Linked DNA regions of Callithrix jacchus. Each later gene encodes a partner of the first gene's protein in a complex. Links are inferred from orthologs where the notes say so. Each region holds a gene or a part of one and is shown in the gene's direction. Other genes may lie near its edges. The genes, in order: FAM8A1, HERPUD1 and UBE2J1.

The links.
Region 2: FAM8A1 (region 1) and HERPUD1 share a complex: the UniProt entries of both Homo sapiens proteins name them as parts of the HRD1 complex. The link is inferred for Callithrix jacchus from reciprocal best matches to the Homo sapiens genes FAM8A1 and HERPUD1.
Region 3: FAM8A1 (region 1) and UBE2J1 share a complex: the UniProt entries of both Homo sapiens proteins name them as parts of the HRD1 complex. The link is inferred for Callithrix jacchus from reciprocal best matches to the Homo sapiens genes FAM8A1 and UBE2J1.

The regions. Positions count from the first base shown.
Region 1 is NC_133505.1:13,151,997-13,156,371, reverse strand, and holds the start of FAM8A1 (protein FAM8A1), read left to right. Parts: upstream 1-1,561; 5' UTR 1,562-1,685; coding exon 1,686-2,397; intron 2,398-3,829; coding exon 3,830-3,950; intron 3,951-4,375. UniProt on the Homo sapiens protein: Plays a role in the assembly of the HRD1 complex, a complex involved in the ubiquitin-proteasome-dependent process of ER-associated degradation (ERAD).
Region 2 is NC_133521.1:14,811,116-14,814,724, forward strand, and holds part of HERPUD1 (homocysteine-responsive endoplasmic reticulum-resident ubiquitin-like domain member 1 protein), read left to right. Parts: intron 1-89; coding exon 90-167; intron 168-255; coding exon 256-330; intron 331-1,824; coding exon 1,825-1,955; intron 1,956-3,609. UniProt on the Homo sapiens protein: Component of the endoplasmic reticulum quality control (ERQC) system also called ER-associated degradation (ERAD) involved in ubiquitin-dependent degradation of misfolded endoplasmic reticulum proteins.
Region 3 is NC_133505.1:95,402,614-95,406,910, reverse strand, and holds the start of UBE2J1 (ubiquitin-conjugating enzyme E2 J1), read left to right. Parts: upstream 1-1,451; 5' UTR 1,452-1,740; coding exon 1,741-1,771; intron 1,772-4,297. UniProt on the Homo sapiens protein: Catalyzes the covalent attachment of ubiquitin to other proteins. Functions in the selective degradation of misfolded membrane proteins from the endoplasmic reticulum (ERAD) and is essential for cells to recover from ER stress.

The DNA.
Region 1 (4,375 bases):
TCCTATTAACTGACTCCTGTCGGTGATTTTCAGTGAACCTACAGAGGGTAAAGAGGAAGCATCACCATTAATATCATTAATAAACATTCCCACTGTATTGGCCCTTATATGTCCTTTGTATGGTGCTGGGGATAACACGGACATATCACTGCAGAGATTTTCAAATGTAAAAGAAGAGGGATTATACTGATTTAAAAGCTGGATTCTGTCCTCATCCTGTAGCTAGTCTGCATTTATGAAAATTTACTTTCCACTGTGGTAAACACAAGCTTTCTACTCCAGCCGAACTGTGCCTTTCCTCAAATCCAGTCTCAAATTTAGGTGCCTTTTCATTTTCTGTTATGGAAAGGCCCTGAGCATATCCCAGGCTTTAGAGCCTTTTGTTAGTACTCTAGTCCATGCATAATTTCCCCTTCCTCTGAAATATATATATAGCACCTCACTACTTACATTTCAATATACTTTCCTGGACGGGCACAGTGGCTCACGCCTGTAATTCCAGCACTTTGGGAGGCCGAGGTGGCTGGATCACGAGGTCAGGAGTTCGAGACCAGCCTGACCAACATGGTGAAACCCCGTCTCTACTAAAAATACAAAAATTACCCAGGTGTCACGGCACACATCTGTAATCTTAGCCACTCGGAAGGCTGAGACAGAAGAACAATTTGAACCCAGGAGGCAGAGGCTGGCAGTGAGCCGAGATGGTGCTACTGCACTCTAGCCTGGGCGACAGAGTGAGACTCCGTCTCAAGATACAAAAACAAAACTATAAAAAAAATTATATATATTAATATATGTACCGGTTTAGTTTAATTTCTTTTTCTTTCTTTTCTTTTTTTTTTTTTGAGACGGAGTTTCGCTCGTTACCCAGGCTGGAGTGCAATGGCGCGATCTCACCGCAACCTCCGCCTCCTGGGTTCAGGCATTTCTCCTGCCTCAGCCTCCTGAGTAGCTGGGATTACAGGCACGCCCCACCATGACCAGCTAATTTTTTTTTTTTTTTTTTTTTTTTTTAAGTAGAGACGGGGTTTCACCATGTTGACCAGGATGGTCTCAATTTGTTGACCTCGTGATCCACCCGCCTCGGCCTCCCAAAGTGCTGGGATTACAGGCTTGAGCCACCGCGCCCGGCCTGGTTTAATTTCTTATCCTCTAAAGGTATAGATGCGTTCTGTGCCACCTTCTCGAGTACTAATGGTTAACTGGAATGAACACAAGCAACCAAGCACTAGCCTGGAGCCCAAAACAACAGTCGCAGTTCTGCAACAGAAAACGCCGCGCTGGCCCTGAGACCCGTCTCGGAAATGCTTCTTATCCCTCTGCTGTTTCTCCCAGGACAACCTAGGTCCTACCCCACGGGAATATACAGAGAGTCCTCAGGCCACAGACTTAAAGCCACGACACGGGGGCGGGGGCCCACGACGGTCTGGTCCCAGCCGACCAGCCAGCTACTACCAGGGACCGAACCGGGGACTGCAGCCGCACTTCCCCGCCCTCTTTTCCCAGCTCCGCCCGGCGGCGGGCGTCGCTCCTGAGGGGCGGGGCTTCCGCTTCCGGCCGGGGATTGTTGACGCCTACGCCTGCGGCTGCGGCTGCGGCGTTGGCGACGGACTGTTGGGGAGGGGTAATTTGGGGAGGAAGACCGAGCAGTGACAGGTACCGCGGTGGGTGCTGCTGAGACGACGATGGCAGAGGGGCCCGAGGAAGCCCGAGGCCGCCCTCCTGGGCAAGACGAAGGCGGGGGGGACCACGAGCCCGTCCCTTCCCTGAGAGGGCCTCCTACCGCCGCCGTCCCATGCCCCCGCGACGACCCCCAGGACGAACCCCAGGCCCCGGGCCGGCCCACAGCTCCGGGCCTCGCAGCTGCCGCCGCTTACGAATCAGAGCCCCCGCGCGAGCTTGGGAAGCGTGGGGAGGCGGCCTCCGGCTCCGGTGCTGGGCCGCCGGAGCAGGCGGGCTGCGAGGCGCCCGAGGCCGCGGCGCCGCGGGAGAGACAGGCGCGGCTGAGCGCCCGTGAGTACTCCCGGCAAGTGCACGAGTGGCTGTGGCAGTCCTACTGCGGCTACCTCACCTGGCACAGCGGCCTGGCCGCCCTCCCCGCCTACTGCAGCCCCCAGCCGTCTCCGCAGAGCTTCCCCTCGGGCGGCGCTGCCATCCCCCAGGCCGCGGGGCTGCCGCCGGCCCCGCAGCTGGGCTATTACAACCCCTTCTACTTCGTGAGCCCCGGGCCTGCGGGGCCCGACCCGGGGACAGCTGCCGGCCTCAGCACCCCTGCTCCAGTCGCGAACCTGGGACCCCGGGCTCCTCAAGTGCAGTCGTCGGCCCGGGCCACTCCAGTGACGAGGGTAGGATCTGCAGCCCCTTCTCGAAGCCCGAGCGAGACCAGGCAGCAGGCAGGTGAGACCAGCGAGCAGGAGGCTGGGCGTAGAAGGGTCTTCAGGGGCCTGTGGGTAGAGCTGGCACGCTTTTTAGACCTGTCACTGCTGCTGCTGCTACTCCAATTAGCGATCCTGCCCGTGCACTAGCTATCGTTTGTCCAGGCCCTAAATCCCCAAAATGTACAAGGAGGCAACAGTTTCTTCTTCCTTTAGACCTGGCACTCCGAATTGATTCCCCTACTCATGGGGACTAGTTGTTTCTACGTGAAAAAAATTGCTCTTCCTTTGGTTTTCACGCTGTGCAGAGTGAGGTCCAAAGCTAAACTCGCAGATGGCAAACTCACTTTTGGAGGTGCTCAACTGTTAATGCTGGAAATTATTCAGACATTGGCTACTTAGGACAGTGGAACTGAACGGACATAAAAGGAGATTGACATGGATACCAGTGGAGTTACGAAGCTTTGATTGGGTCAAAGCTTCACTTCATTTGATCGAGAAGCCCTGGCTTATTGATCTTGTACATTGTGTAATTGTTTTTGCTTCTGTGTGTGAACTAGAATATTTTGAATTAGTTTACTATTTAAGCTATTACACTTTTCGTTTATTTTATTTAGCCACAGATAGAAGGGACAAGAACTACGTGATGCCTCTTATCCCAGCAGAATTTAGCATGACAGATTGATATTCATTGGGTTTATTTTAGAGAAAGCAAAACAAACTAAACACACAGGAGAGGTTACAGGGATTTACTTTATACTAATTGCTAATGTATAACCTTGATTTGTACTAAAATCAATTTTCAGTCACTTAGATGTGATCACTCGGATTCTCAGTAGAGTTCTTAGTGAAATGTATTGGGTACTCGAATCAGATTTGTCTGTTAAATCACTTCTGGGGGCGGGGGGAGGAGGTGTGGAGGACGAGGTTTGGCTCTATCGCCCAGGCTGGATAGTGCAGTGGCGCGATCTTGGCTCGCTGCAACCTCCGCCTACCAGGTTCAAGCCATCCTGCCACCTCAGCTTCCCTAGTAGCTGGGAATATAGGCATGTGCCATCATGCCCGGCTTATTTTTTAATATTTTGTTGAGACGGGGTTTCGCCATGTTGGCCAGGGCCAGACCAGTCTCGAACTCCTGGCTTCGAGCAATCTGCCTGCCTTGGCCTCCCAAAGTACTGGTATTACAGATGTGAGTCACTGCATCCAGCTGTGTGAAATCAAATTTTAAACGTTAAAGTTAGGAAAGCAAACTTTAAGTTCAGTAAATAGTGGGGTACTGTTACTCTAATAACATGGATTCTTGGTGGAATCAATATCAATAGTTGCTGCAAGGCTATATTTCTTATTAAGTTGTACCTTGACTTTACCAATTCATTATATGGCTTGTGTTCCAAGGCTTATGTGAAATGATTGGATTTTCCTAACTTCTTTTTTTTTTTTTTTTAAATTTACAGGCAGAGAATATGTTATTCCCTCCTTGGCTCACAGATTTATGGCAGAGATGGTGGATTTCTTTATTCTCTTCTTTATAAAAGCAACCATTGTCTTAAGTATTATGCACCTCAGTGGGATAAAGTAAGTTGAGGACATTTGCAGAAAGGTTTTTATTTCTACTGTTTAAAACTATTGTTTTGTTAAATTCTGTTTGTCTGCACGAGACTATATGGATAATGAGCTTGTCAGTCTCATGATTTCTTTATGAGGGCTTTGTCAGATTTATGGTTTTCTTGTTGATTTAAGAAATAACTAAAATTTTCTACTGAATTCTGTAAGATGTGTGGGAATCTCGCCTATCAAAAATAGGTAAAAAGAGCCTCCAAACCTGGTTTGATTTTATTCAACTTTTTTTTTTTTTGAGACAAGAGTCTCGCTCTGTTGCCCAGGTTGGAGTGCCATGGTGGGATCTTGGCTCACTGCAACATCTGTCTCCCGGGTTCAAGCAATTCTCTTGCCTGAGCCTCCCAAGTAGCTGGCCACTACAGGTTCATGCCACCATGCCT
Region 2 (3,609 bases), on another chromosome or scaffold:
ATTATTTGTATAAAACAGTTTATTTTGAGTGTTTGAGAACTTCTGGGAGTGAAATGCTGACCTTTGTTACTCTTTCTTTCCATGGTCAGCATCCAGAGGACCAGAGATTAATTTATTCTGGCAAGCTGTTGTTGGATCACCAATGTCTCAGGGACTTGCTTCCAAAGGTACATCACCTAAACATTAATTTCTGCATGTTTTTAAGCACTCACCAGGTTAGGTTCAGGTCCTTAAGTAACTTCTTTTTACTTTTAGCAGGAAAAACGTCATGTTTTGCATCTGGTGTGCAATGTGAAGAGTCCTTCAAAAATGCCAGAAATCAGTGCCAAGGTGTGTCTGCTTCTTCATGATGATAACAGTTTGCATCATTCAGACTTAAGGAGTTGGATAAAACTGTTATTGAGAGACTGTATGGTGTTATTACCAAGTAATATTTTGATTCTTTCCTAGGAATTAGAGACTGTATTATCAACACACGTGATGGGTTAATGTAGCAAAGTGTTCCATTAGCACTGTGGTAGAAAAGTGGACTTACATATTGCACTATCTTCTGGGATGTCATCTGATCTATGGTTATTACGTATCTAGATTACTGAACTAACACTAATTGGGTTTTTATTGAATTTAGCACATAGCGAGGTTTCTTCAAAGAACCATTAATTTTTTTTTTTTTTTTTTTTGAGACGAAGTCTTGCTCTGTCACCCAGCCTGGAGCGCAATAGCATGATCTCTGCTCACCACAACTTCTGCCTCCTGGGTTGAAGCAATTCTGCAGCCTCAGCCTCCAGAATAGCTGGGATTATAGGCACATGCCATCATGCCTTGATAATTTTTTGTATTTTTAGTAGAGATGGGGTTTCACCATGTTGGCCAGGGTGGTCTCAAGCTCCTGACCTCGTGATCTGCCCACCTTGGCCTCCCGAAGTGCTGGGATTACAGGTGTGAGCCACCACATCTGGCTGGAGCCATTAATTTTATAAAGAGTATAAAAGTGAATATATTTTCTTTGGAAATTTTCATTGTAATTAGTTGGATAGGAAAAGGTCAGAGTCTTTATCAAGTGATCCATAAAGAATTTTTCTTTTAAATTGGTCTCACTTTGTTGCCCAGGCTTTTCTCAACCTCCTGAGGGCAAGCGATCCTCCCACCTCAGCCTCCTGAGTAGGGCATGTGCCACTGGACCTGGCTTTAAAGACTCATATGTGACAGACAAAAGCATTTATTTTTCATTTTACAATGTTTATTCACATATATGGTATTAGTATTCTAATGGAGTGATGCATTCTAAATTTGTATTATATTTCCTAAAATATTTGAACAGAGCATAGGAAATTCCCTATTTTGCCATTATCAGATCTAACAAAAATCTTAAAGGCACTTTGTTTCATTTTCATGCACTGTAAATTTTTAAAGATGATCAAAAACAGTATCATATCAAGACTGACTTGTATTGGAATACTATTTTAGAAAGTTGTGGGCTGGGTTATATTTATAAATCTTGTTGGTCAAATTTCTGTGATGAGCAAACTTAACAGCATCATCAGAAAGCTTTCTCACCAATGATAACTTCATTGGAAGCTTTTAATGAAAGTGTAGCATAGTTACTCTAGGGAAAGATAGGAATATTTTAGTATCTATGTATTGAAAATTGTGTTGACTAAATGTCAGAATATTTTTTACATAACAATGCTTCTATTTAATATTGTCATGTTCAGAGGTGGAGGGTAGGAGACATAAGCCATTGACAGCAAAATAATTTTTTTCGCTTGATTTCAGACAGTTGCATCAGCTCCTTTGTTCTGTGTTCATGTTACACTTGTTTAGGTGGCTGAATCCACAGAGCAGCCCACTGGTTTTAATCAGGGACAGTATCCTGGGGATTCCTCAAGTGATGATTTAAGGCAAAGGGAAGTTTTTCGGAACCTTTCTTCCCCTGGATGGGAAAACATCTCAAGGTGAGCGTTATAATAACTTGGACCGTACAACATGAGTGTGCCTCATTTGCATCAATTTAAGAATAAGGTGTGTTTACACGTATATAATCAGAACTTTTAAATGTATAGAATTTTGCTTTATAAGTAGCTTCACTTTAAAGAGCTCCTATATTTAACTTAATACACAGACTTTTAGTATACACAAATTTTAAAAGTTGGCAATGCATATATTGAAAAAAGAAAATGTAGGCGTTTTATCCTTCCATTGTGCTGACCACTTGGCTGCTGTCATGATAGGAAATTAGTGCTGCTGCAGGAAGAAACAGCTGTTGTAAGCATCGTGCAGCTGCTTTGCTAAGTGGCTTTGTGCTTTATTCTAACAATGGGTGACCACAAGGGAGAAACTGTTTAAGAAGTGTTCCTCCAAAGACTTGGGGGCACTAGGAAAATTGGCCATCTCTTTATAACTACTAAAGCTTTTTCTCTAGAGCAAAAGTCAGAACTAAATGCTCTGTTATTTGGATTTTTCTAACTCTTGGAATACCTTGTTTTATGAAAGTACTTTTGGGGAAAAAATTTGTTAACCACATGTTGAAATTCTGTAACTCTCCAATTACCTGTCCCCCTTTTCCTAGTAGTTTTTATATGCAATATTTTCTAAAGCCAGGTGTTTTAGGAATTTATTTTTTTTCCCCCTTAATGGAACTTTCAAATATACAAATATACACAACAGTGGGGACTGTATCATTAATACCCACACCATCCACCCAGGCCTAAGAAATAATGTTCAGAGTTTTACCATATCTCATCTATTACCCTTTCCCTTTTTTTTTTTTAAGTATTTAAAGGTAATTCCTAGACATTATTTCATCCCTGTATACTTCAGTATATAACTGTAAAAACCTTTTCGTTATCTTGTGTATCTAGAATGCCATTATCAAATCTAACAGAAACCTTAAAATCACTTTATCATTTCATTTCTATGCATTGTAGTTTTCTTAAATGATCAAAAACAGTGTCATACCAAGGATGACTTGTATTGGAATACTGTTTTAGAAATACTCTGTATGGACTTTAGTTAAAAGATTGTCAGCATATAAGTTGGATAATTATTGGATAGAAAATTATTGATTAGAAAAACTTACAACTACATCCCTTATTCTGATTCAACTGTTCTTGAGAATTGAAGGCCATATTTGACTCTCTGAATTTCACCATATTTAAACTTGATTTCATTTAACAAATATTTATTGAACAGCCAGTACATATAACTTTGCTTAAGGATACAAGTTGACCTGCAGGAATGGCCACATAACCAATTCCTGATCTTCCGGCAATTCTATTATGATTTCAATTTTGTGATGTGCTACCAAAGAAGTTCACTGTGTAAGAAGCACGAAGCCAAAGATGACTCGCATACACCTGCCTGACAAAGTTGAGGGCTGTGTGGCGTGATTAAAGAGGCGTGCATTTGACATCAGACCAGCTCTGAAATCCAGTCCTGCTGCTTATTAGCTCAGTGACCTTGTGCAAAGCCCATGTCTTCCCTGAGCTGTACTTGGGCTCCCCTTGTAAAAATGTCCTTCATGAGATTGCTGTGGATCTAGAAGCCTGTAAAGGACCCCAGGTGGTCAGTACGCATGCACAAGTGATGACATGCACACATCACTATAGA
Region 3 (4,297 bases), about 82 Mb from region 1:
CAAATAGGAACTCATTATATACAGCATCTGCTTCGCAGGCCTTACTGTGGTAGGGCCTATTGCACAAATTAAGGGCTTTTATGGAGCTGTGGCAGGCGAGGATGTCAAGTGGTAGCTAATTCGAAGATCCAACACAATGAATGAATGAAGCAGCACTGAAGTTTGGTTTTGTTCGCATATCTCAGCCAATCAGATTATCAGTTTACTATACAAAAAACAACATGGGGAATGGTTTAAAAGATACCATCTAATTTTAGATATCCTTCACTTTTTTCCTCCCAATTTCACTAAGAAACTCACGGATTTAGATTATTTAACAACAGAAAACAAATCAAATTTAAGAGTTTTGTATCTTTAAATAACAGAATAACACTTGCCCAACCTGATTAATCCTCTCTATCCTCCCCACCTTCCCATTCCCTCCCTCCTTTCCGGTCCTAAGGTTCCTACTCCTTCTCAAGTCTTTTGAACTCATAGTCCTCTCTCAATCCCACACATTTGACACTGAAGCAAGAAGTGTGTTCTTTGAAGTTTAATCTTTCATATTTGTATGCTTTCTCTCAATTCAATGTAATTCCTTTTTTTTTGACGGCTTTTAAATCTAAACAAATCAAAAGCAAACAAACTTCTGCAACGCCTAAAACAGTGTCTTGCACCTAACACACTACTCGAAAAAAATTATTAATATACAACTCTGATTAGTGCAGTGGCTCACGCCTATAATCCCAGCACTTTGGGGGGCCGAGAAGGGCAGATAATCTGAGGTCAGGAGTTAGAGACTAGCCTGGCCAACATGGTGAAAACCTGTCTCTATCAAAAATACAAAAAATTACCCGGGCGTGGTGGCGCACACCTGTGGTCCCAGCGCTCTAGAGGCTGAGGTGGGAGAATCGCTTGAGCCTGGGAGGTAGAGGCTGCAATGAGCCAAGATCGCGCCACTGCACTCTAGCCTGGGCGACAGAGCGAGACTCCGACTGAACAGGGGGAAAAAAAATCCTCCTCCATTCCCTCGCCACTGGCTTTCCCCTCTCCCCCTCACTTAACCCCTGTTTCTCGCCGCGCCCCCCACCACCGCACCCCTGCCCCGCCACAGCAACTGGATCTATAAACAAAGCCCTTCCCAGACCCCGCGGGACCGCGCGTGAACAGCTTTGCAGCCGGAGCCCGGCGCCCCCTCCGAGCTCTCGAGGGCCCGGGGGTCCCGGACCTCTCCTGCAACGGGTAGGGCCGGCGCTCCTAGCGCCTGGGGACCCCGGAGGGCCAGAGGGAAGTTCGGCTTCCGGGGGCCGGGGCGAGGGGACAAAGACACTGCTCGCTCCTGCAGATCCCAAGCCGGCTTTACGGGGCCGGCGGCGACTGGGGAGTGACCGACCGCCACGAAGCTGCTGCCACGTCAGGCAACTTCACAAAACCCGGACGAGGGCAGGTGACGCAAGCCCCGCGGCCGCGGCGGGGCTGGGCCTGCGGCTACCCGAGGAGGCTGATCTCCGGCCCGGTCGCCCGGTTCAGCGACGCCCGGCCGGCGCCGGCCCGGCTCTCAGGGAGGCGGGGGGTGCAGCGGAGGAGGCGGCGCCATCGCGAAGCCAGCACCTCGCCCGCACTCGGCCTCGTCACCCCGCCTGCAGTCCGGGCTGGACTGGGCGGCGTCTGCGGAGGCTCCTCGGCCAGACCGCGTCAGCCTGAGCCGTGCTGAGACCCGGGCAGCGGCCCGGGAGGCCGGAGCCAGGCCAGCGACCCGCCATGGAGACCCGCTACAACCTGAAGAGTCCTGGTGAGCGAGGCTGGGGCCCCCGGGCGAAGAGGGCAGAGTGACCTGGACCCCGGGGCGGTCGCCGCGGTCCCCTAGCGTTTGGCGCCACTCATGGCTCCGCTCCCGGTGTCGCGCTCTACGCGAGACCGCCGCCTGCCCGGGAAGTGCAGGCCGCAGGGCGGGGTGGCCCGGTGAACGCCCGCTGCTAATCCTCGGGCAGGCTAGCGCGCCGCAGCACCCGGCCTCTCCCTTTTCCCATCTTCGCCCCGTCCCGTAGAGCTGGGTCAGAAACTCATCCCTAAGAACAGGTGTAAAGGTGATGTCGGTGGGCGACAGTCAACAACCCCTTGCTGTACCTGCATCGGGAACACCGTCGCTATCCCCTCCCGGTCACTGCCACTGGACTTCTGTTAGCCGGCTGCATTACTCACATTTGAGGGGTTGGTCGTTTAAATATCTTACTTGCGGCACCTGGGCCGAATAGAATTGCAGACATAAAGGAAATGTTCTGTAACTAAGCCAGTTAACTATAGAACTAAAACAAAACAAAACAAACAAAAAATACCTGGTTGAACCCTGTACATGGGAACTAACCTTGATTTTTGCCATACTGGCTAATATGAAATATATCTATATTCAGTCGTAGAGATTCTTTTCCTGCATTTAATGATCCTGCTTCATTTACACAAGCAGTCCCAGCAATCCTAGCCTTTAATTACTTTCTGGTGCATAATAAAGATAAGTAACTAGCGTTCTCAGCTTAATACAACAGGCTTGAAATGAATCATTGGATCGTCTAAATGGTATTTTTTTCTATCTGTACCTTGGTAAATTTTGCCAGGAGGAAGAAACTCCACAGTTAACTCTGCAAACTCTAGGATATTAATGATGATTTCACCGACTCTTGCTTTTGCTTAAAATTTCCTTCCAAAAAAAGCTGTTTCTCAGTAGGAATTAGCAAAATTAGCATCCTTATGGAAAGAGTTGACATTGTGAATCTGGGGGTTTTTGTAAGGTTTCAGAATATGCAAAAATCCCAGAAAAGCCTGAGGATATTGATTTGAGGGAGCTTTGTTAGCTTGAGTGCTGCCAGGCTTAGAAATGTCCTTAGGTGACCAAGTGTGTAGATTTGGTCATAACATTTTAGGGGCCACTGACTCCTTAAAAAATATGAAGACCTGGCATGGTGGCACGTGCCTGTAATCGCAGCATTTGGGAGGCTTGTGGGGGTGGGGGACAAATTACTTGAGGTCTGGAGTTCGAGACCAGCTTGATCAACATGGGGAAACCCTGTCTCTACTAAAAATACAGAAATTAGCCGGGCATGGTGGTGGCACACTCCTGTAGTCCCAGATGGCTTGAGTCTGGGAGGTGGAGGTTGCAGTGAGCCAAGATCGCGATTGCACTCCAGTATGGGCGACAGAGCAAGACTCCATCTCAAAAAAACAAAACAAAACAAAAACCTGGAGTGGAGGTAGGGGGAAGAAAAGACCAAAGAGAAAGAGGGGAAGAAAGAAAAGCTTAATGTATGATTGAATTATTTACATTGTGGTAGATTTAACTAGTACTATTTGGGTAGAAACATCTGGTGGCTCCCTGCTCACAGGGTTCCTTAGGACAGCAGAGGTGCTTAGTGAAAGGTCCAGAGGATAATCCACATGTGAGTAGTAGTGCAGTTTGGAATGGAGAACTGGTGGAACCCAAGAGATTGTTGTCAGAAAACATCACTCAATTTCAATAGGTTAGACTTAATACTACAATGATAAGCTTTTAAAATTCTCCAGAATTTTGTACATTTCCAAAGTATGCGAACTATCATCCACTGGCTGAGCTTTGGCTGACATGCTTCTAGCTTTGTCATAAATTGCTTCCTTTTTTTGGTTTTATTTCCTCAAAGATAGTGTTGCTGATTTAAAAAACAATGCTACTTTTCTTTTTTTTTTTTTTTCTGGAGACAGAGTCTTGCTTCCTCACCAGGCCCCAGACTGGAGTGCAGTGGCGTGACCTCAGCTCACTGCAACCTCCGCCTCCTGGGTTCAAGCAATTCTCCTGCCTCAGCCCCCTGAGCAGCTGGGACTACAGGCACGCACCACCATGCCCAGCTAATTTTTGTATTTTTAGTAGAGACGGGGTTTCACCATGTTGGCCAGGATGGTCTCGATCTCTTGACCTTGTGATCCACCTGCCTTGGCCTCCCAAAGTGCTGGGATTACAGGCGTGAGCCACCGCGCCCGGCCACAATGCTTCTTAAAAATCTATTTTTGTTAGTGTGTTGATTATTTGGAATTCATAGAGAAGTTGAATTAGGTGAGATATGAGACTTACTGAAAATGCTGGGAGGCATCCTGAAAATCCTTCCTTTGCTTTATTCTCAGTCCTGTGGTATTTTTTAGAGTAATGCCTATATGAAGGAAAACAACTGAAAATTCCAATCTCCTGTGTATGGCAGGGTGCGTGCACACACACACACACGCACATAAAACACCAGCCAACCAACCAAACAAAAGCCACCACACAGTGTGAGGGATATAATCCTTTACTTTTTAT